6 linked regions of the Macaca mulatta genome follow. The protein of the gene in region 5 purifies or fractionates together with the protein of the main gene of each other region. This does not show direct contact. Links are inferred from orthologs where the notes say so. Each region holds a gene or a part of one and is shown on either strand. Other genes may lie near its edges.

The links.
Region 1: the proteins of EXOC3 (region 5) and EXOC1 purify together in Homo sapiens (affinity purification with mass spectrometry; 5 studies listed by BioGRID and IntAct, counting the BioPlex papers as one, with this or other methods). This does not show direct contact. The link is inferred for Macaca mulatta from reciprocal best matches to the Homo sapiens genes EXOC3 and EXOC1.
Region 2: the proteins of EXOC3 (region 5) and EXOC6 purify together in Homo sapiens (affinity purification with mass spectrometry; 6 studies listed by BioGRID and IntAct, counting the BioPlex papers as one, with this or other methods). This does not show direct contact. The link is inferred for Macaca mulatta from reciprocal best matches to the Homo sapiens genes EXOC3 and EXOC6.
Region 3: the proteins of EXOC3 (region 5) and EXOC6B purify together in Homo sapiens (affinity purification with mass spectrometry; 3 studies listed by BioGRID and IntAct, counting the BioPlex papers as one, with this or other methods). This does not show direct contact. The link is inferred for Macaca mulatta from reciprocal best matches to the Homo sapiens genes EXOC3 and EXOC6B.
Region 4: the proteins of EXOC3 (region 5) and EXOC7 purify together in Homo sapiens (affinity purification with mass spectrometry; 5 studies listed by BioGRID and IntAct, counting the BioPlex papers as one, with this or other methods). This does not show direct contact. The link is inferred for Macaca mulatta from reciprocal best matches to the Homo sapiens genes EXOC3 and EXOC7.
Region 6: the proteins of EXOC3 (region 5) and EXOC8 purify together in Homo sapiens (affinity purification with mass spectrometry; 5 studies listed by BioGRID and IntAct, counting the BioPlex papers as one, with this or other methods). This does not show direct contact. The link is inferred for Macaca mulatta from reciprocal best matches to the Homo sapiens genes EXOC3 and EXOC8.

Annotation. Positions count from the first base shown.
Region 1 is NC_133410.1:77,601,710-77,605,209, reverse strand, and holds part of EXOC1 (exocyst complex component 1), read left to right. Parts: intron 1-117; coding exon 118-345; intron 346-548; coding exon 549-681; intron 682-1,313; coding exon 1,314-1,423; intron 1,424-2,229; coding exon of another isoform or gene 2,230-2,283; intron 2,284-3,500.
Region 2 is NC_133414.1:104,902,644-104,906,143, forward strand, and holds part of EXOC6 (exocyst complex component 6), read left to right. Parts: intron 1-677; coding exon 678-787; intron 788-3,045; coding exon 3,046-3,157; intron 3,158-3,500. UniProt on the Homo sapiens protein: Component of the exocyst complex involved in the docking of exocytic vesicles with fusion sites on the plasma membrane.
Region 3 is NC_133418.1:52,234,098-52,237,597, reverse strand, and holds part of EXOC6B (exocyst complex component 6B), read right to left. Parts: intron 2,427-3,500; coding exon 2,343-2,426; intron 1,990-2,342; coding exon 1,943-1,989; intron 571-1,942; coding exon 450-570; intron 1-449. UniProt on the Homo sapiens protein: Component of the exocyst complex involved in the docking of exocytic vesicles with fusion sites on the plasma membrane.
Region 4 is NC_133421.1:85,822,251-85,825,750, reverse strand, and holds part of EXOC7 (exocyst complex component 7), read left to right. Parts: intron 1-1,743; coding exon 1,744-1,849; intron 1,850-2,484; coding exon 2,485-2,636; intron 2,637-3,500. UniProt on the Homo sapiens protein: Component of the exocyst complex involved in the docking of exocytic vesicles with fusion sites on the plasma membrane.
Region 5 is NC_133411.1:1,553,441-1,556,940, forward strand, and holds part of EXOC3 (exocyst complex component 3), read left to right. Parts: intron 1-1,165; coding exon 1,166-1,283; intron 1,284-2,183; coding exon 2,184-2,309; intron 2,310-3,500. UniProt on the Homo sapiens protein: Component of the exocyst complex involved in the docking of exocytic vesicles with fusion sites on the plasma membrane.
Region 6 is NC_133406.1:17,695,224-17,699,511, reverse strand, and holds EXOC8 (exocyst complex component 8), read right to left. Parts: upstream 2,801-4,288; 5' UTR 2,711-2,800; coding exon 533-2,710; 3' UTR 204-532; downstream 1-203. Other genes in the region: DNA-dependent metalloprotease SPRTN, read left to right, coding at 3,355-3,575. UniProt on the Homo sapiens protein: Component of the exocyst complex involved in the docking of exocytic vesicles with fusion sites on the plasma membrane.

The sequences.
Region 1 (3,500 bases), on a different chromosome or scaffold from region 5:
TTTTGTTACTCTACTTTAAAGGAAATTTAGCAACATTTCACCTTTAATCTTTTACACACTTAAGTAACATGAAATGTTGTGTTTTTTGTTTGCTTGTTTTGGTCTTTAACTTTGTAGGCTAACATCCAGTCAATCATGGCATCTGAAAAACAAGTCAACATCTTGATGAAATTGCTAGATGAGGCTCTAAAGGAGGTAGATCAGATTGAATTGAAGCTGAGCAGTTATGAAGAAATGCTCCAAAGTGTAAAAGAACAAATGGATCAGATCTCTGAAAGCAACCACCTAATTCATCTTAGTAACACTAATAATGTAAAACTCCTATCTGAGATAGAGTTCCTTGTGGTAAGTATGATCATAAATTACCACCACCAACAACAAAAAAAACTAGTGATGATATATAAAACCCATTTGTAAACATTTTCTAATTTCCTTATGAGAACAGGATTTAAATTAATTCCAAAGACCTAATGATAGGATTGAGTAGCATCTTGCCTGTAAATTTCCCAGAATTATACATGCAAATGGTATGTTTGCATATATTCTAGAACCACATGGACTTGGCCAAAGGTCATATAAAGGCCCTTCAGGAAGGAGATCTTGCTTCTTCCAGAGGCATTGAGGCCTGCACCAATGCTGCTGATGCCCTTCTGCAGTGCATGAATGTAGCTCTTCGACCAGGTATGTTCATTAGAAATGACAAAAATGTGACCAAGAATCTGAGACTAAGCCTGTAACTTGTTATAAAGATTTTGACAAGAAATACGTGAGACAAGTGGTTTAGGGTTACATTATTAGCTATTCAAGTTTCACTGATTTCCCGCTTATTTCTATTGATACTATGAACTTTTTTACTTCAGTTCCTCCTTCTAGTTGACCTCAATGACTATAGTCAACACCAGGATCTTTATTTAGTACTATCCGCAGAACCCAGCAGAAAGTAGGTGCTTTGGTTAGACCAGAGAGCGTAAGGTTTTTCTAGGCAGGGATTTCAAAACTTGAGTGTCCATCAGAATCCCTAGAGGTCTTGTTAAAAACATAGATTGCCTGGCTCCAGCCCCAGATTCAGCAGATCTGGGCTGAGGCTTTAGAATCCACATTTCTAACAATTCCCAGGCGATGGTGAGGCAAGACCACACTTTGAGAACCACTGTGCAGTCCCATTTTTCTCCTGCTTAACTTTTATCAGGTAAATGAATACACCCATACAACTTAGGGGTTATTCAAAACTTTAGATATGTTTAATGTTCCATTAAACATCAAGGAAATCTTTTTACCCGTTAAACTGGTCACAAAATGTCATTCTGTATCAGGCCATGACATGCTTCTGGCAGTCAAACAGCAACAGCAGCGATTCAGTGATTTGCGAGAGCTTTTTGCCCGGAGACTGGCGAGTCACCTCAACAATGTTTTTGTTCAACAGGTAATTTTATTTTATTATTAAGACGAGCATGTTCCTATAGCTTATTTATGTATTATCTTAACCTTACATTTCCACAAAAAGGTTAATAATGTTTAATTGGGGTTGCAATCAATTCCTTCACATATTTGATTTTAATATTTTGAAATAGGTGCCTCTTTGCTCATAGATGTATTTTGGGCCTCAGCTGCCTCTTTCAGTAGACAGTCTAGTTCCCTTCAGCTGATGCTCTCTGATTCTAGAAATCAAATAACTGTGCATATTAATTGCATATACTACTTAGATATTTTTACTTATAAAAGTAAGTCCAAACTTGTTAGATGTTTACTATTGGACTTGTTTTATTTTTCAATATTTTGAGGTGAGACTTAGGACTTGATTCAGTGTCTTAAATGTTTTGTAAGTTCTATGTACTTAGAACATAGTATGCTTGTTAAGAAAATGACTATGGCTCAACCATAAATTTCAGTTGATCTAATCTTCATATAAATGCTTTGCCTATATTTTTATATGGAGAAGGATGTTATAATTAAGAGTGTGGTAATAATATTGTTATTAAAAATATTAAGAGTACCTTTGGGAGATTTGAATAAAAGCCATTTTAATATCTAATGTAATAAATTAGGTTTCTTATTTTTTCATCTCTTTTAAAAGTCCCTTTTATTTTATTAGAGTTACTGAATGAAAAAAAAATTGGGGGGATATCTTGTTCATCAAGAAATACTGCCTGAAAACAGTGGATTTTTACTTTATTTTCACTTTGCAATATTCTAAAACAATTGTATTTACTATATTTTATTTCCAATTAGTTTACTCAGGCCCTCCTTCAACTCTATAACAGGTCCTACTTTCTTTCGGTTCCTGTGAGTACATCAAATTTGGCTCAAGCTTCTCTGATTCTGTTTTGTTTTTTTTTTTTCTATAGAGTTTGCTAAACTTAACAGCAGCAGAATCTTTACAGATTATAACTTACTGATTTAAGCTACTTGTTAACCACATTCGTAGCCGGTTTTTAATGTCCCATAGTAGAGACTATTTGGGCCAAAAAGGCATTTAATCTCATTCTGCTTGCTTTTCTTTCTGTCATTTTTTCAACTCACTTCATTTATTTAGTAATAAATAGTAGTAGTATTCTTCATTTAGTAATAATAGTAATATTACTCCTTCATTTATTTAGTATTGCCAGGTGGTTGAGGTACATACCAGACATTGACTTGGGATAAATGAGAGACCAGTCCTGTCCTCAGGTAGTTCACAGTCTAGGGAAGGGAGACAAACAAATAATATACTCAAGAGGGATAAATGTTACGGTGGTGAGACTGTGGGAGCATAAAGGAAGACCACCTAACTAAAAGCACAGTAAGGGGAAATCAGAGAAATTCCCTTAACATTCCACTTGACCTGAAAAGTGTCAAGAAAAAAGTAAGCTTAGATGTCACATAGGAACTACTAATTCGTGTTTTTCTTAGGTAATTACTACAATAACATCTATTCCTATACAGTTCCTTAGTTTGTAAAAATGACACTGTTGACAATTATGTTATCCACATTTGTAGATAGTATTGAAAATATCAGCCAATAAACAATAGTCTTTTCTGTACCCTTAACTGTTTGTTGTAACCTGCAGTTATTTATGATTTTGCTTCTTGCCTTGTAAACTAATGGCTTCGTTTAAAATGAATGCTTCCCGTTTCTGAAAAGCTAATATGTGTTATTACATGTGAATGATGCATGTTAAATACCAGAATGCTGTGACAACCTAGGATGTGCCAAAAAAGGTGGAAGAAGATATCCCACGCATAAGAAAGAGATTTTCTTAGTGTTGCATTCAGTGCATCAGGTCACCTAGCAAAATTGTTGAGAAACATGGGTATGTCTATTCCTGGTAGGGGCACAAGCTGGGAAAGTTGATTAAAATAATATGGTGCACCTCTTTGGCAATCACAAAATTTTCATTGTATGCTTATTATGTACTCACTGTCTACCATATGTGAGAATAAGAAATAGTTCGTACCCTCAAGATGCTTGTAAGAAGAAGTTAAAACTAATGTACTTACTCTTTGTAAGGAGTTAAGACTAA
Region 2 (3,500 bases), on a different chromosome or scaffold from region 5:
GCAATGAAGGTGAAGATAGAAGGGTATATTAGACTTAATGAAATAGAAAAAAGGGTTTTTTTGGTAACAATCTTAGAAGGAGTTTACCTTTTAGAGACTCAGAATTTCGAATGGATAATGACTTATAAAGTAGTTTAGCCAGGAAGCACCCTGTAAGCCATTGGCTGCATACCAGTGTTTAATGGCATGGAGGTCAGAAACCTGCTATAAGGTATTCTAGGAGTAATGGAATAAACTCGATAACTTCTTGAAGTGGCATCAAGCCTTCACTGAAGGTAGGTGAAGAGAGTCTTAGAATTATTTAATTACTCTGAGCCAGAAAGCTGGCCTGTAATTTTCATGGCCACCCTGACTCTTGCATGATAAATACACAAAGAAGCAGACAGCTAGGCATCACCTACAGACAGAATACTCATCGTCAGAATACACCAGAGGTACTGGTATGTGTTTTCTCTGCTTGTTGGAAGTCTGATAGTATGATTTAAGAAACAAGGGTAAATTGCCACATTATTTTCTTCAGAAATACTTTGATAAAATATCAAAAATATAGAAATATAACAGGGTTTTTGATGCAGGTATTTGCTATTCAAGTGTGAAATCAATTTAATTACATTTTTAGTGAATAGCATGTCTTTTTCTAAAATTTCTAAAACAATATTAACTTTCTTTTTCTACAGCAATCTTTCCCAAAGAAATTCCCCATGTCTCAGTCAGTGCCTCATATTTACATTCAAGTTAAAGAATTTATTTATGCCAGCCTTAAATTTTCAGAGTCACTACACCGGAGGTAAGTTTACTAATCACAAATGCATTTTTGTCATAACTTTTATGAAACATTAATACTTTGTTTTTATGTCATAACTTTTTTTTCCTCAACTTTTATTTTAGGTTCATGGGGTACGTGTTTGTTACAAGGGCATATTGTAGAATGCTGAGGTTTAGGGTATGCTTGAACCTGTCACCCAGGTAGTGAGCACAGTACTCAATAGGTAGTTTTTCAACCCCTGCCTCCCCTTCTTGTAGTCCCCAGTATCTGTTGTTTCCATTTTTACATGCATGTGTATCTAGTGTTTAGCTCCCACTTATAAGTGAAAACATGCAGTATTTGGTTTTCTGTTTCTGCATTAGTTTGCTTAGGCTATTAGCCTCCAGCTGCATTCATGTTGCTGCAAAGGACATGATTTTGTTCTTTTTTATGGCTGTGTAGTGTTCCATGGGGTTTATATACCACATTTTCTTTATCCAATCCAACATTGCTATCAATGGAGAGGCGCTACTTGGAACTAGTGGGTAGAGGCCAGGGGTGCTGCCATAGACACCTATGTCTTTGCTATTGTGAATAGTGCTATAGTGAACATATGGGTACATGTGTCTTTTTGGTAAAATGATTTATTTTCCTTTGCATATATCCCCAATAATGGGATTGCTGGGTTGAATGGTAGTTCTTTTTGTTTGTTTTTGTTTTTGTTTTGTTTTGTTTTGAGACAGGATCTCACTCTGTTGCCCAGGCTGGAATGAAGTGGCACAATTATGGCCCATTGCAGCCTCGACCTCCTGGGCTCAAGTGATCCTCCCACCTCAGCCTTCCAAGTAGCTGGAACCACAGGTTAACGCCACTACACCTGGCCAATTTTTGTATTTTTAGTGGAGACGAGGTTTTGCCATGTTGGTCAGGCTGGTTTCGAACTTCTGGCCTCAAGCAATTCACCCACCTCAGCCTCTCAAAGTGCTGAGATGACAGGCACAATCTACTGTGCCTGGCCCACAGAGTTTTAAAAGTAGTATTTTAATAAAAAGTAAAAGGATACAAAAATGTTAGCTTATATCTAAGGCAGTAGTTCTCAACTGGGGATAATTTTGGTTCTCCTGCCACCACCTCCTCCCCACAAATTTGGCAATGTCTAGAAACATGTTTGGTTGTTACAGTTCGGGGGAGAGGCGCTACTTGGAACTAGTGGATAGAGGCCAGGGGTGCTGCCAAACATCCATATGTGCAAGGCAGTCTCCACAACAAAGTATTATCCACCGTAAAATGTCAATAGTGCCGAGATGGATAGTCCGTGGTCTAAGGACAGTTTAACTGTTGTGATAATGAGGCTGTATCCAAGGAATCATTATTTACTTAAATTGAAGGCCTAATGGTTAGGAGAAAAGAATTTGTTTTTTAGTGCTAGCTTAGTAATACTTAGGATGTTAAGAAACATCATATTAAAATTAGTTTAAGGTAATTTATTTCTTTGACGACTTAAAAAATCTTGATGAAAATGTATAACTTAGTTATATTAAAAATTAAATTTGTTAATTATATCTAGAAAGAGCTCATGTCAGTTTGTATTTTAAAAATAATTTTTAGCTGTAGTTGTGTAGGAAGTTTCTTTCAAAGTGCCTGTCTTTTGGGGCTGGGCGCGGTGGCTCACGTCTGTAATCCCAGCACTTTGGAAGTCCAAGGTGGGAGAATTACTTGAGTCCAGGAGTTCAAGACCAGCCTGGGCAACATAGCGCAACCCTGTCTCTATAAAATATTCGAAACTAGCTGGGCGTGGTGGCATGCACCTGTAGGCCCAGCTACTCAGAATGTTGAAGTATGAGAATCGCTTGAGTCCAGGACTTTGAGGCTACAGTGAGCTATAATTGCACCACTGCACTCCAGCCTGGGTGACAAAGTGAGACCCTGGCTCAAAAACAATAATAAAAATAATAAAACGGCAAAGTTACTATCCCATGATGGAGTTGGAATTTAGGAATAGTTTTATTTCCTTATACCAAGTCCTCCATGATTTTTCTGTAGTTGTTAATTGGATACATTTAAATTATGCCATATATGAATATTCTACTTTATGGAAAATGTCCCTTTTGCAAAGTTAAATTGAAGTTTGCGATTTAATAAATATGGGTCATTGTAGTTTATTTAAGGATATAAATTAATGACTTGGGGAAAATTATTTTAGTAAATTGTGTTAAATTATTTAGGATGTTAACTAACCATATTCATTATTTTTTATTAAAGTTTGTAAAAAGTTTAATAATATCAGTCTTTCTGTTTAGCTCAACAGAAATAGACGATATGCTTAGAAAATCAACAAATCTGCTGCTGACCAGAACTTTGAGTAGCTGTTTACTGAACCTTATTAGAAAACCTCATATAGGTTTGACAGAGGTAGGTTAAAAAGACACATATAGTGAAGTGTTTCATTGTATGAAACAATTATTTTAAATTATTGCTGAACATCATTTTGTAAAACTAGCTTCCTGTTTTAAATGTATTAATGTAAGCAGATTTGTTTTCAAAATGAAAATAACCAGTGTAAATTCCAGAAATGTGAGGATGCCAGGCACAGTGGCTCACACCTCTAATTTGAGAGCTTTGGGAGGCCAAGGCAGAAGGATTGCTTGAGGTCAGGAGTTTGAGACCAGCCTGGGAAATATAGTGAGACCCTGTCTCTACAAAAAATGAAGAATATTAGCCAGGCGTGGTATTGTGCAACTGTATTCCTAGCTAC
Region 3 (3,500 bases), on a different chromosome or scaffold from region 5:
GGGCTCTAGAGTCAGACCATCTGGGTTTCAATCCGACTTCTACTTCTTACTGTATGGCACTAGGCTGGTTACCTAACCTCGCTGAGGTTCAATTTCCCAGACTATAAGGTAAATATAATAATAATAATAATACCTACCTTTCTAGGGTTTAGTGAGGATGAAATAAGAGAGTATATATGAAGTAAACAGAACAACATCTGACACATAGAGAGAATAATCAATAGACGTTATCTGCTATTTTCTTATTGCAAAGGGCTTCTATAAAAGTGAGTTCAGTGGTAGAAAATGTGATAATCTGAAGGAGCTACTTCTATGTCTTTGAAGGACATATATAATTCCAAGTGAGTGATTCCAAAGACACACATATGTTGATTTTAAAGCGGTAAAACACTGAATAGTATATAGATAATCAGCTCTAAATAACAAGTTCCCTTGGGCTTCTTACATACCGAGTGGGTACGGAGTGCTGCGATCGTTTTTGAAAGTGCCATTTCCCACAGTTCATCAATGTAGGCTCTATTTACTAAGCCCTGGGTTGTATGTAAAATGTGATCTTCAACCACAAAAAAGCTAAGATTGAGGAAAAAAGAAAGCACAGCTGTCAGAAATTACAATTTTATTACTCTCTCTGGGGTTTGACAAGCATTAAGAGATACCATCAAAGGCAAAGTTAGTGGTCATTTCTTTCTTGAAGAAAGTTATTCAGTATCATAAATGAAATCAGGCTACTTGGATTAAAAATTATGTCTGTGATCATGATATCTTCATAACCACTCCTAGAGAGATTAGAGTTACATTTCTATTAAATTTCTATTAAATGTTAACAATGATATCCAGTAGTTTAAAAGGGAGGAAAATGTGTAGAGGTAATGGAGGCAAATTTTGTTTTATTAAGAAAATACCCAGCTATCAATACATTTCAAAAAAACAAATTTTAAAGAGATCACAAAAGCTAATATATACATCATATATATTATGTATTCTTTATATATATCTTTTAAGAATCCAATGCACAAAATATCAAAATAATTCCCTTCATGTGGACTCTGTCACCAAAGTGCTGAAAAGGCATTGTATAAAGGTTTCAAAAATGCGAAGTTATGTTTGAACAATCTTGTTGTGGCTTTTTGTTATTATGCATTTAAAATGTAGCTTTCATTGTCTTGTCTAAATGTTCATATTAATGAAAAAAAGTCTTTATTAGGGAATTTTTATGATATATTTTAATAACTAATTACATTGAAACAATTTAAATCTGAAAAAAATAAACCTGATGAAGAATCCAAGTTATTTCCTTTTCTTTTAACTGCAAAGTCATTATTTTGCAATTAGAACAAGATGCCTGTATTGGGATGTTTATTTGGGAAATGCAATTCCATACCACTATATATATTCTAGAAGAGGGTGGCAAACTATATAGCCTATGGGATAAACCTAGCCCACTGCCTGTTTTATAAAGATTGTTTTATTGGTACATAGCCATGCTTATCATTTATGTATCGTCTACAGCTACTTTTGCACTGTAACAACAGAGCTAATCAGTTGTGACAGAGATCATATGGCCTACTAAGCCTAAAATATTTTACTATCTGGCCGTTTTGGGAAAAGTTTGCCAACTTTTGCTGATTATTTGGTTCCATCTACCAAAAACAAAGAAACAAAACATCAAGTGTAATAAGATTACAATTCAATGTTTTTCTCACTTTATCCACAAAAATGCCCTCCAGCAACATAATGTTGAAACCAGCAGGATATTCCTTTTAAATCATTAGAAAATCAAAAACAAATCTTGTCTTAAGGATTAAAAAAAAAATGAAAAGAATTTACTAAGGAAAACCTCATTTATTTTTCCAACACTCACAAATCTATGTATGGAAAGAGTATAAATTTCAATAAATAAATAAATAAATATATATATATATATATATATATATATACCTACCCTACAATTTGATTAAAATACTTCCTGTAGCCATCTAAAGTTTCATGCTGCAACAAAGCAAAGAAGAAGAAGTTACTGTTTGTGTTTTGTAACATTAAGACTAAGTTAAAATCAGTCACTTAATCTCTTAAGGCTCAGCTCCCTACATGACATCTGATAAGGTAAAAATAATAATATTATCTACCAATGAAGAGGAAATACAGCAGCACACATCCAGTACTTAGAACAGTGCCTGACACACAGCAATCAATGAATAATGTTTTCTTACTGCAAGTCACATCCACCAAAAGTGGTCTCAGAATGACAGTGTATACACACACACACACACACACACACAAGCATCAAAAGACATCAAGGAGGAAAAGTAAAAATGTGAGAAAAGTGAAAATGGTAATCCTACCATGTTAGATGGAGGTTGAAGTACCAAACGAGCCTGTTTTCGCCTCTGTTTTCGGTAGTAATTCTCAAATGTTTCCCGGGCACCCTGTAAAATAAAGAAAAGAAAATGGGTTGACACAATTGGACCAATTACTCTTATATTTCAAGGGAAAAGACAAGGTCCCAGGTCTGGAATTTGAGGTAGTATCACATTTCTCAAAATCTGCTATTTTAACATTGATGATAACAATAGAAAATAAAAATAACTATTACCATTTATTGAACCTGACTTACAAACCTGTAAGGGTGTATACAAAATATCCTTATAAGGAAACTACCAGAACTTAATCACCAGCACACCAAAGCTGGTTTCTGAATCTACTGTCTCAAATTCATAAGAATGAAGGGAAACCAACCTTTCCATAAGTTATGATAACAGGTAAGAAAAATTTTCCTTAAAAAAGCTACAGAACATTCCAGAAGAAAAATGTCCAGAATAAAAACCAGCTTTCAAATGAATCCTGAACAAAGAGGCAATGGGAAGCAGGAAAAAAAGCAGGAATTGAGAACAATAAATTAGTATTCCCCCTTAGGGTATAATCTAGCACAGGATTAAACCCGAAAAACAAAAAACAAAAGCATGAAGATTCTTGGTGCACAGTTCCCACTTTTAATTTAGGGTTTCTGGGCTTAAAATGAGAAGTGCTCTACAGAATAATATCTGACTTATGAGTTGTGTACTGGGTCTCCCCAAATTCATGTCCTTCATGGAACTTCAGAATGTAACTGTATTTGGAAATAGGGCCATTGTAGATGTCATTAGTTAAATTAAGATGTGATCCTATCAGTGGAGGGTGGGACTTTAATAGAGTATGTCTGGTGTCCTGAAAAGCCGAAAAGAATAGATACAGAGACACATGGGGAGAACACCATGCGATGACAGAGGCAGAGAATAGAGTGATGCAGCTGCAAGCCAGGGAACATCAGAGATTGTTGATCACCAGCAGGCGCTAGAAAAACACAACAAAAGATTCTACCCAGTCTCAGAGAGAAAATGGTCCTTCCGATGCCTTGATTTTGGAATTCTAGCCTCCAAAACTGGGATAGAACACATTTCTGTTGTTTTAAACCACTCAGTTTATGGGGCCTTGTGACAGCAGCTCTAGGAAACTAATACAAA
Region 4 (3,500 bases), on a different chromosome or scaffold from region 5:
GGGTTTCCGAGCTGTCAGGCACTGGTGGGCTCAGGACCGATGTCAGGCTCTAGGGAGTCAGGCTCCGTTGACGTCGGTTCCCACTTCTGAGGAGAGGGGCAGGGAGGCCTCCCAGGTGGTGAAGCACTGACCTCAGCATCCCTGGAGGTAATTGGGCGCCTGACGGGTTTGGCGGCTGCCAGATCTGCATCCCTGACCCACGTCCTGCCGGCGTGCACCTGCGTCCGCGGCTGCTCCGGCTGCTCCTGGTGGGTCGTGGGGCGGGAATCCAATTCACTCATTAGTGAGCCTCGCTCGCTGAAGGGGAGAGCACGAGCAAGGCAGATGTGAGCCAGGCCGCGGAACTTGGTTATTAGGAGCTAATTATGGGCCGAGTATGGTGGCTCACGCCTGTAATCCCAACACTTCGGGAGGCCGAGGCGGGCGGATCACCTGAGGTCAGGAGTTCAAGACCAGCCTGGCCAACACGGTGAAACCCCGTCTCCACTAAAAATAGAAAAAAAATTAGCTGGGTATGGTTGCACACGCCTATAATCGCAACTACTCAGGAGGCTGAGGCAGGAGAATTGCTTGAAACCAGGAGGCGGAGGTTGCAGTGAGCCGAGATTGTGCCATTGCACTCCAGCCTGGGCGACCCAGCAAGACTCTGTCTCAAAAAAAAAAAAAAAAACAAAAACAAAAACAAAAAAGCTAATTGTGATGTCATGCGGTGCGGCGCAGTGCAGTGCAGGTGTAAGCAATGAGCCTCCAGACACTGCCCTTTCTGCCTCAGCTTTCTGGGGAGCTGCCAGGACACAGCAGCCTCACTGCTCAGATAGACAGTAGGAGGGTGGAGGGCATCCCGGGTGCCTTCTTGCCCCCATACATTTTGTTAACAAGGCAGCTGCACTTGTCTACTTGAGATGCAGGTTTATTTCCCCACGTTTTCTGGCCCAAGATGTCTCATTCCCATAAAGGAGGCGGACTCAGGTGGCTGTGGGCGCTACCATTTTGTTCTCATTGTTTCCACTTGTGATACTAACTGTTGTTTTTTTCCCCATGCCAAGAGCATGTGCCCTCTCCTTCTGCGCACACCCTCCAGGTTCTCTGTGTGGTGACTTCTGTTAACCCCTTCTTGACTTTTGGATTTTTTCTTGTCCCTTTGGTTGTTTGGGGAACTCTAACGTGTGGGGCTAGGCTGCCTCTGGGTCTCTGAGCCGTCCGCCTTGGGCACCGCGCTCCCCGGAAGTTCAGTCAGGGTGGCTTCCTGCTGGCTGCTGTTTGGCGTACGTCCCAACACTGAACGTGCTCGGAGAGCTCTGCCTGGAGTTTGGGGCTGGGCTGGGGGCCTGCTGGCTTCAGGGTACCCCCAAGCTCTGCCACCCTGGTTGTGCCCTCTTGGTGTGCAAGCTTTGTCACTGGCTCCTCCAACCTGAGCCCTCGCCTGTTCTGACTACAATGCCACTCGTATTTTTGACTTCTCCTGGTGGATCTTGTTCCATCTTCATTATCCTCTGTCCTTTCAGAAATGAACTGAAATCCAGAACAAGGAGGGTCAGTAGTAGAATCAAGGCTCCATTTGGAGAAGGAAATTATTCTTTTCCTTCGCCTTTGTCCCCAGGGTCTCTGGTGGTCCCAGGGAAGGGCCTGCTCACTGTTGGGGGGCTGGGTGTGGGGCCTGGGGGCAGGTGGAGGGCCGCTGCTGTTTTCTCTCACTCATTTCCTAGGTCTTCTTATCTCCTCTCTGTGTGGCTCTGGTGACAGGGACGATCCGTAAGGCTCAGAACCTTCTGAAACAGTATTCCCAGCATGGTCTAGATGGGAAAAAGGGGGGCTCTAACCTCATTCCTCTGGAAGGTAATCACCCTGTGTTCCCCTCCTGTCCCTTCCTCCTCCACTGTGTGTCCACGCACTTGGCAGGGCAGAGCCTCCCCCAGGAGGGCCTCGGGAGAAACCCTGAGGGGAGCAGGGTGGGAATGGCAGGTCCCCAATGCCACTTGGGCTTCAGCAGGCGCAAGGACAGTTTCGCGGCCCTCGGCCTGGTCCTCTCTGGCTGATGGCAGCTCTGCCCTCCCTGGGGCTCCCTCCTCCCTCCCCTGTCTCTGTCCTTGTCTCCTGTGTGAACTCAGAGAAAGCTCTTTGTCTGGGGCAGCCTTTCACGCTCAGACCCACAGTGGCAGCCCCAGCTGGCCGAGGCCTCCCCTCTTCAGAAAGGGGAGTGTGTGCAGCAGGCGACAGGCAAACTGGGGCTTTGCGCAAATACGGCAAGGTGGGGAACCCCCCTGGGGTCAAGCATCAGCTCTTCAGCCCCTCCTTGGTCCTTCTCCGCTTTCCCTGGGCCTCCAGACTTGGGGAAATGAGCAGCTAAGGACGGTCCTGGGTGCTCACTGAAGTCAGGCTTGAAATGGCTGTTCCCAAGGTGGCTTGAGGTAGAGGAGGGGCTCAGAGCCCTCTCTGATGCCCCCTTCCCCATCCCCATCTGACATCCCCCTCCTGGAGATGAAGGGCTTCTCCCTATACCCCAAGGGGCGGCCTGCCGGGCCCCTGGATAAACACTGCTTGTGTTTATGCGGCCAACATCTCGCCAGGTCACGAGCATGATTTCCGAGTTAAGCACCTGTCCGAGGCCTTGAACGACAAGCACGGGCCACTGGCCGGTGAGTACTGCAGCCCAGCCCGAGGGCAGCTGCTGACACTGCCTTCGCAGCGGTCCCCGGATGGCCTGCTCCTGTCTGGCCCAGCCAGGCCCAGTCTGCTCTGAGGATGGGCCAGGCCTGTGCGCCTCTCTCTCCACTCTCTTTTGGGCCTAGGTCTCCTTGCCTCTCTCCAGATGGGAGTGCGTGCCTGGCTCTCAGGCCTGGGCCAAGGGGAGAAGCCGCTGCTACTCAGAAAGCAGGCAGAGAGGGAAGGTGGCTCCCTTGAGGGCAGGGAGCCCTGACGTCTGCCTCCTGCAACAACTCAGAGCTCTGATCCCCTCGGAGCCCATCCCTTGGCACATAGGACCAGGCAGTTCTGCCACTGGTTTTGTCCACAGGCGCCCCCACTGTGGCCTCCAGTAATAGGATCTGGCCTTCTCCTGGGGCAGCTGGCAACCCCTCCTCTCTGGGACTTACCAGCCTCTTCTCAGATTTTGACCCCATGCCAGCCAGCCTCAGAGGCTGCAGCCTACCGCCCTCTTAGATGTTCCAGAAGCCCTGGCTGGGCTGGTCACTTCCTTCGCAGGCCCCACATTTGCCCACATGGATGACCCCAGTGCCAGCCTCCTTGAGGTGGCACAGCCACCTGCCCACCCTGGGCTGCCCTCTTTCAGGTACAACTCAGAATCCTCAGTCCTGGGGTCAAACTACCTTATCCAGGATGTTGATTCAGTGATCTTCCCTCCTTATCCTTCCGTCCATCACCCTCCTGCCTCTGGTGTCTGATCCCACTGTCTGCGCAGAGCTGAGAATGAAGCCAGAACAAAGGCTGGGCTCAGCTCCTATTGTTCCCCTCGAACCTGGCGGGGCCTGCTGGTGCCCTTG
Region 5 (3,500 bases):
CCGAGGTTGGAGTGCGATGGCGTGATCTCGATTGACAGCAAGCTTCGCCTCCCGGGTTCATGCCATTCTCCTGCCTCAGCTTCCTGAGTAGCTGGGACTACAGGCGCATGCCAACACGCCCGGCTAATTTTTTTGTATTTTTAGTAGAGACGGGATTTCACCATGTTGGCCAGGATGGTCTTGATCTCCTGACCTCGTGATCTGCCCACCTTGGCCTCCCAAAGTGCTGGGATTACAGGCTTGAGCCACCGTGCCCGGCTGATAATAACTTTTTAATGAAAACTTTTCCTGAAGTGTAGCACGTATTTCCTGTCTTCTGGGCAGTAGACTGGATGTAGTTTAGGCTGTTCTTGCAGATACATTTTTATCAGTAATGTCCTGTATTCTGCTTTCCAGTCATCAGCCTCTGCAGAGCACAGTGATGTTGACTGCAGTGGCTTGTTTCCAAAGTACAGCACAGCTGCCCCTCCATACCCAAAAGGGAGGGATTCCAGGAGTCCCCTTGACTGTCAAAATCCTCTGGAGCCTAAGTCCCCTTTATAAAAGGGTATAGTGTTTGCATGTAACTTGTGTACATTCTCTTTCCTGCTCTAAATCATCTCTAGATTACTTATAAAATTAAATACAGTGTAAATGCTATGAAAATAGTTGTTGGACTATATTTTTTGAAATTTTTATTATTTTTTATTGTTGTTTTTCCCAAATATTTTCAGTCTGTGGTTGGTTGAGTCAGTGGACATGGCGCCCATGGCTGTGGGGGCCGGCTGTGCTTGTTGTTGTTTTGACTGAGTGCGTTTGTTTATTCAGTGCCTCCTGTTTGCCAGGCCCTGCCTTGGCTCTGGAAGTGCAGTGAATAGAACATGTCTTCCCCACAGGGAAGTCTCTTCCGCATTTGAGCCCTAGCACCTTATGAAGCTGGCACAGCAGGGTGAGGCTGGGGTTGGAGGGACTCACGTGGTCTCAGAGCCAGTGGGTTGACCCCACGGAGACCCCAAAGCCCTCGACCCCTGCCCTGCACTTTCCTCTGAGCCGTGGGCCGGCTGTGACCAGGAAGTCTCCAGGGTGGGTGGACGTTCATGTGTCAAGTGAAACAGCCTCGACACACTTGGATGTGCTCTTCTATGTCTGTCGTGGTTTGTCATTCACGTTCCTGGTTCTCCCATAGTACGGAGATGATGAGGAACACGGAGCTGGCCCCGGAAGTGGATGTCGGCACCCTGGAGCCATTGCTTTCTGCACACGTGGTCTCTGAGCTGCTTGACACGTACATGTCCACACTCACTGTGAGTAGGGCCGGCCTGCGTGCCATAGACCACCGTGCTGGTTGTACAAGTAATTGGGCTTGGCAGCAGGCAGGAGGCAGGGTGGGAAATGCCTTCGCATTGACTTCCTAGGGTACGTTGCTCAGTTGCCCAGGCTCTGCTTCCAGGCCCTGACAGGTCCGTTTGCTAGAAGAGGAGATCTGGGCCTGGATCCGAAGCTTGTCCTCTGCTGGAGATGTGAGCCTGTGCCATCCTCGGCAGGCTGGCCAGGGCCCAGGATGTCTGAACCGTGTGTGGCGGCACCTGCCAGCTCTCGGCTCTGAGTCCCAGGGTCAGGGGGGGTCAGTCAAGGACCAAAGGGCAAGTCCATTTGCAGCTTGGTGACCACCAGGTGGTCTCAGAGTGAGAGGAGGGGGTCAGCAGGGTCTGCTTCTTAGACAAGGGTGTGTCCACCTAGCAAGGCAGCATTGTGACCAGAAGCAGAGGTGTCCTCAGGAGCTGGGGAAGGAGTGCTGTCTTCTCTTGGGACATGAGCTGCTGTGGTTGCTGAGTCTGGGCAGAGGAACAGGCCTGACCGGACCTGACTGGACCTGGTCAGCCTCGTTCTCTGTACACCTGGGACTCAGCGGCCTTGTCCTCCAGCATGAGGTGCAGCCAAAAGGGCATCTAGTTTCTTCTCCCTCTTTATCTGTACAAAGGTTCCAGTTAAATCCCTGCAGGCTGCCGTGGGCCCTGCCTCCCATGGGGGTGGCTCCTGGGTCCCTGCTCTGGAGTCCTCATTTGGGAACGAGGACTCTGGTGCCGTGTGTCTGGTTTCTGGAGCTGTGCATGCAGCCGACCAGGTGATTGGCATGACCCTCAGGCACCTGCTCTTCTCTCTTCTCTTCTCTTCTCTTCTCCATCATGCTGAACTTCCTTTAGTCAAACATCATCGCCTGGCTGCGGAAAGCACTGGAGACAGACAAGAAAGACTGGGTCAAAGATACAGAACCGGAAGCCGACCAGGATGGGTACTACCAGACCACACTCCCTGCCATCGTCTTCCAGGTATCAAATGCAGGGGATTGGCACAGTTCCATTTCCTAGTGGATAGTAGGACCTATAGGTTTTACAGAGTGACACAGATACCCGGGATCTTCATCCGCAGAGTGTGGTGAAAATATTGAGAGCCCTGCCTGGTGCATCTAAGTCCTCTGCTGTCTCTGTCTCTTTCTCTCTGAAGCTGCAGAAACCTGGGACGATACTTACCAAATAGTTTTGCCCAAGGTCACTTTACTTTTCTGACTGGGTCTTTATGGGTTTGGACTAGAGCCTAATTATATGTTATTTATGTGCGACTTTCAAATGTGAGTTTGTTTGGTTGATATCCAGGATTTGTCCTAAAAAATGGCACATGATTGAGTCTAAACAGGTAGATTTTGGGAGCGTCCATTATTTGTTTTGAGACGTAGTCTCACTCTGTCGCCCAGGCTGGAGTGCAGTAGCACACAGTCTTGGCTTACTGCAACCTCCACCTGGTGGGTCACGGCGTCCATTGGCTTTCAAAGTTGCTTTCCTGTTCGTTGGTTAAGGTTCTAAGTATTAGACTCACTTGCATTTTTACCACAGATTCACTTTCCAATGCCCGAGCCTCACTAGGTGTTAGACCCAGTGTGTTCTCACCACGGATTCACTTTCTAGTGTTTGACCACCCTGTGTCCTGTTTTTCCTGCTTTTTTTTCTTTTGGCTCATCATGTGTTTTAATTTGAGTGGCATTGCTGAGGGATGGAGCCCAGTTGTGTTAGAATCCTCACTCAGGACTCTGGTCAGGCAGGAGTGAGGGCTGGTGGGTGACATTTCTCTCTGAATGATACCGTTGGTTATTGACAGGCTAGTCCAAACCCATTCCTTTGTTTGGAAACGGATGCTGTGAGAAACTCTGTGAGGAGAGCCCAGTGAGCTCTGTCCCCTTGTCCTTCCTCTGCCTGTGTCAGCTGCTGGCAGGGCCTGGCACACCCCAGGTCCAGATTCTTAGGAACTCTGCATCATGACGGTCACAGGGCCAGGGAAGGTGAGTCAGCCGCCTGAGGGGCGCCATCCCTGGTGAGGCTTCACTCCACACATTAGAACTCCAGTCACGTAGTGTGAGGACTGACATGGCCCCCATGGGAGAAAGCAGTTTGCCAGGAATTAAGAAATAAGTCACTTGGTACTTTCCCAGGTGAGAAAGTTGTTTTTGTTTTTTTGTTTTTTGTTTT
Region 6 (4,288 bases), on a different chromosome or scaffold from region 5:
ACACTAGCCTGGGCAACATGGTAAAACCCCATCTCTACAAAAAATACAAAAATTAGCTGGGTATGGTGGTGCCAGCCTGTGGTTCCAGCTACATGGGAGGCTGAGGTGAGAGGATTGCCTGGGCCTGGGAGGTCAAGGCTGCAGTTAGTTGTGACGTTGCCACTGTACTCCAGCCTGGGCAACAGGGTGAGACCCTGTCTCAAAAAAAAAAAAAAAAAACCAAAAAGTGTTTTATCAAAGGATGAAACTGAAATGCTATAGTGTATAGTGTGACCATAATTTCAGAAGAGAATCAGCATAATTTAAAAGGATAGCTAGCATACTATATGTTTTAATAATTCCAGTATTTTTGTTATTTGGGCTTAATTTAACTTCTTTTCCTCTTTTTGATTTTTGTATTCTAAGAGGGCACTTTTAATTTTCAAGTTGTGTTTGAAACTATAAAGAGTATGCTAATACAACTTAATATAAATATAAATAATATATAAGCGCTCTCTCTATATATATACATACATATAAACAGACCCAAGCATTAGACCACTGATGTTGTACTTTCAGGATTCACACGAATAAGTCTAGATGCATTCCTCAGATCTTGGAGTTGCTTGGCAGGTTTCCCCACACCTTCTTCAAACCTTTTCTCCACCACAGGGAGGACTGTTTCATATAAGAAGGATGCATTCTGTCTGATAAAAGCTTTCTTCTCTGGATCCTGCTCACATCGAAGACTATAATCCACATGCTGAACAGCAACCAAAATGATTTCCACCAGGCTCTCCAAAAGTACCATGTGCAGCTCTGGGAAATACAGCTTCAGAGCCTCTTCCAAGAAGCCCATGGTCTGTTTGGTGAAAGCAACCACTGTGTAACTTAGGTTCACCCAGCAGTCATGCCCTGTGTACTGCTCAAAGTTACTTACCCCACAGCTTTTCATCTCTTCTTTGAGCTTCCCCAGGGCTTCTGGCGTCATCAAGTTCATCCTTCTCCACATCTCTTCAGAGTTGCGATGTTTAGTGGCTTCAATGATGATTTCTTTGTAACTGTGCAAGGCCCCTTGGATGTCTTTCACCAGAAGGGCATGGATGATGAAGGTGAGGTCCAGTCCGATATCACCCAGTTGCTGGCAATGCTCCTTAGCCACTTTTACACACTCAGCTGCTGTTGAGAGGCTCTCCTTACTATCAAACACCTGCTTGCTGAAAGCATCCACGAACATGCCCATGGCTGATCTTGCCCAGACCACAAAGGCGGAGTAGCAGCCGCTGTCAGTGCCTGCAAAATCAATCTCAAATTCTCTTGCAGTCTCAAGAAGGCTGGTAAAGAAGACATGGCACAGCTTATGAATATAGAGTAAAGTGGCGCCTTCAATGCGAAGCTGACGAATTGCTGTATGAACAGCGGCTGCCCTGTTTCTCAAAAATAGCTCACAGGCCTTCGTGCACTGGCCCAGCCGGATCAGTTGCGAAACTGCTCTGCGAGTAGCCTTGGGACCACCTCTCAGGGAACGATCTGGGGAGAGTTCGAAAACCAGCACCTCAGTGAGCTGTCGAACTCGCTCCTCCACTTTGGCCCTTAGTTCTTTTACAGGAGGTGGGCTAGGCTTATCTTCCAGGTAATGGTTCAATTTATCCAGCAGGTCAACAGCCCCTTCAAAGTCCCTCTGCGCAATGCAGACATCCAGGTCTTCAGGTAACTCCTGGATCCATTCCATGGAGAGGTCCACGTTCTCTTCCTCTACCTCAGGAACAGCTGGCTCTTCTTCTTCGTCATCCTCAAATGGGTTAGTGGCCTTGGAAGTCACTTGGGGTGGCCCTCGAGGGGCCGCTGCCTCCTCCTGCTCCCTTCGCCTTTTCTCACTGAGGGCTCTCTTGGTCTCCTCCAGCACTTCCAGCCACTCTCGTTTTATTTTAGCATTTTCGGCCTGGAAAATACGGCTCTCGGGGAACATAAGCAGCTTGAACATGTCCTTCATGGGCGGGTTGTCCTTGACATTGACTACGGCCAAACCATCTAGGGAATAGAGAGCGTTGTAGCGATACATCCCCCGCCGCTGCGGCAGCCAGGTAGCCACCAACAAACAATCGTTCATGAGAAAGCCGTGCACCCGCTGCAGTTGGGCCATGTGGTCGGCATCGTATTCCACTAGGTCCCCGTTGTACACCAGGTACTGTCCCGGCGTCTCCAGCAAATGCCTGCAGCCTTCCACCTTCTCAAGCAGGGTGGTGAGAGTGCGCTGCTTTCCTTCCTCGCCTGGACCGGAGCCGTCGCGGGAGGCGCCACCGGGGGTGGAGAAAAAACCGGCCTGGCCTCGGAGGTGGTCTCGGCCCCCCGCCCCACCGACTCCCTCCTCCCCGCCAGACGCGGCAGCGGCTCCGGCGGCAGCTGCGGCAGGCAGCAACGTAAGCGGGATGCTCTCCAGGCTGCTCTTCTGCTCCGTCAGCAGGTGGCTGAGCTGGTACATCTCGCTCTCCAGGTAGGAGATCTCACGGGCCGTCTCTATGAACTGCCGGTAGTTCTGGTAGACGTTGCGCTTCAGGTTCTGCGCCGTCTCCTCCGCCAGCGCCTGGATGCGCTGCCGGTGCTCCTGGAGGTCCCGGTCCCCATCCGACTGCTGCGAGAGCTGCTTCACGTACAGCCGCGCCTCAAAACCCCCTGACTCCAGCTGCCGACGCAGGCGGCTCGCCCCACTGTCCGACATCGCCATCGCCATTTCCGTCCGGGTCTCACGCACTCACTGTCACTATCGGCGCCGCAGCCGCCGCGGCTGTCTACACCCACCCAAGACCCACCGAGCTCCTGGGCTGAGGAAGCAGGAATTGGAACAAGACGAGTGCGCCTGCGCCGGGTCTGAGCGTCAGACACTGCGCCTGCGCAAGGGGCCAGGCGCAGACATTGCGCCTGCGCAGGAATGCCATCAGTTAAGGCGCATGCGCCGGAGGAGCTAGTGCGGAAGTGAGTGGAGAGGCCGAGAGCAATTTGAGTACTGCGCATGAACCGAGCGTGACGTTGAGGTTTGAAATAACCGGCAAAGAGTAAAGGCTGGAACTAGCTTCCTGAAAGCTTCGTAGGGCCGGTGCCCTGTGAGCCCAGGTTCTGCGCCCACTAGGAGGTGTCGTGCTGACTGCTTGTTTTAAAGCCCTAGAATCTTGGCTTCGGCGTTTGGGGTAAGCGCCGTTCTCGTTCACGTTCTCTTTCTCAAGCGAGTTTCCGCGAACTCTCGCGGGATTGACTGGCCGTCTCGAGAGCCGGTATCTCCTAGGAGCTAGTCCTGGTCCTCCGCTAGGCGGCTTGGGGTCGCAGCCTAACTCGGAGCCAGCCTGACACCGGCGGATCCCGCCTGTGATCCTGGCAACGATGGACGATGACCTGATGTTGGCCCTGCGGCTTCAGGAGGAGTGGAACTTGCAGGAGGCGGAGCGCGATCAGGCCCAGGAGTCCCTGTCGCTAGTGGACGCGTCGTGGGAGTTGGTGGACCCCACACCGGACTTGCAGGCCCTGTTTGTTCAGTTTAACGACCAGTTCTTCTGGGGCCAGCTGGAGGCCGTCGAGGTGAAGTGGAGCGTGCGAATGACCCTGTGAGTTCCGAGCCCCGCTGGGGAAAGAGGCGGGACTGGCAGTTCTCCTGCAGCCCCCGGTCCTGGTCTTCTCTCCTTTCTCTGGTCCGACGGTCCCAGGGGGCATTAAATGAGGGGGGAGTCTGGTTTTGGACCTGGCAATTCCTGCCTTGGCGTATTTCTCTTTTTCTTACCTTTTCTCCCACTCGAAAAATAAGAAAGCTGTGTAGACCCCACCGCCACGGTTGGACTCAGGGCCCTAACGAGAAAAGAGATTTGTGTTTGAATCTCACTAAACTTGAAAATAACAAGTTCCTGATTTGCCTTATGATAGTGCTGTAGGACCCTGAAGGGAAAAGCAACCAAATCTGCCCCTAAGAAAGTGCTGAGGACGCAGAGTAACCTCCAAAGGATGTGCGTTCCCCTCCTCTCTTTCCCGTTAGGAACCCACTTTAGTGAGCTCGTGTGTTGCAGTGGGGATCTTCAGTGATGCTTTTAAAACGATTCTTTTTCTACATGCTAAATTTGAGAAATCCTTATTTGAAATAATAATCTACTCCTGCACGTGAATAGGGTGAAGTTTAAGATACAGTTGTATACCACCAGCATGCTTGTTTTTGAGTTGACAGAAAACAACCTACAAACAAATTAAGATATCATATTAAATTGTGTTTAAAGTACCAATCTCCTTTATACAGGCGTCTGTTATCATTTTGGAGATACACTATTGGAGA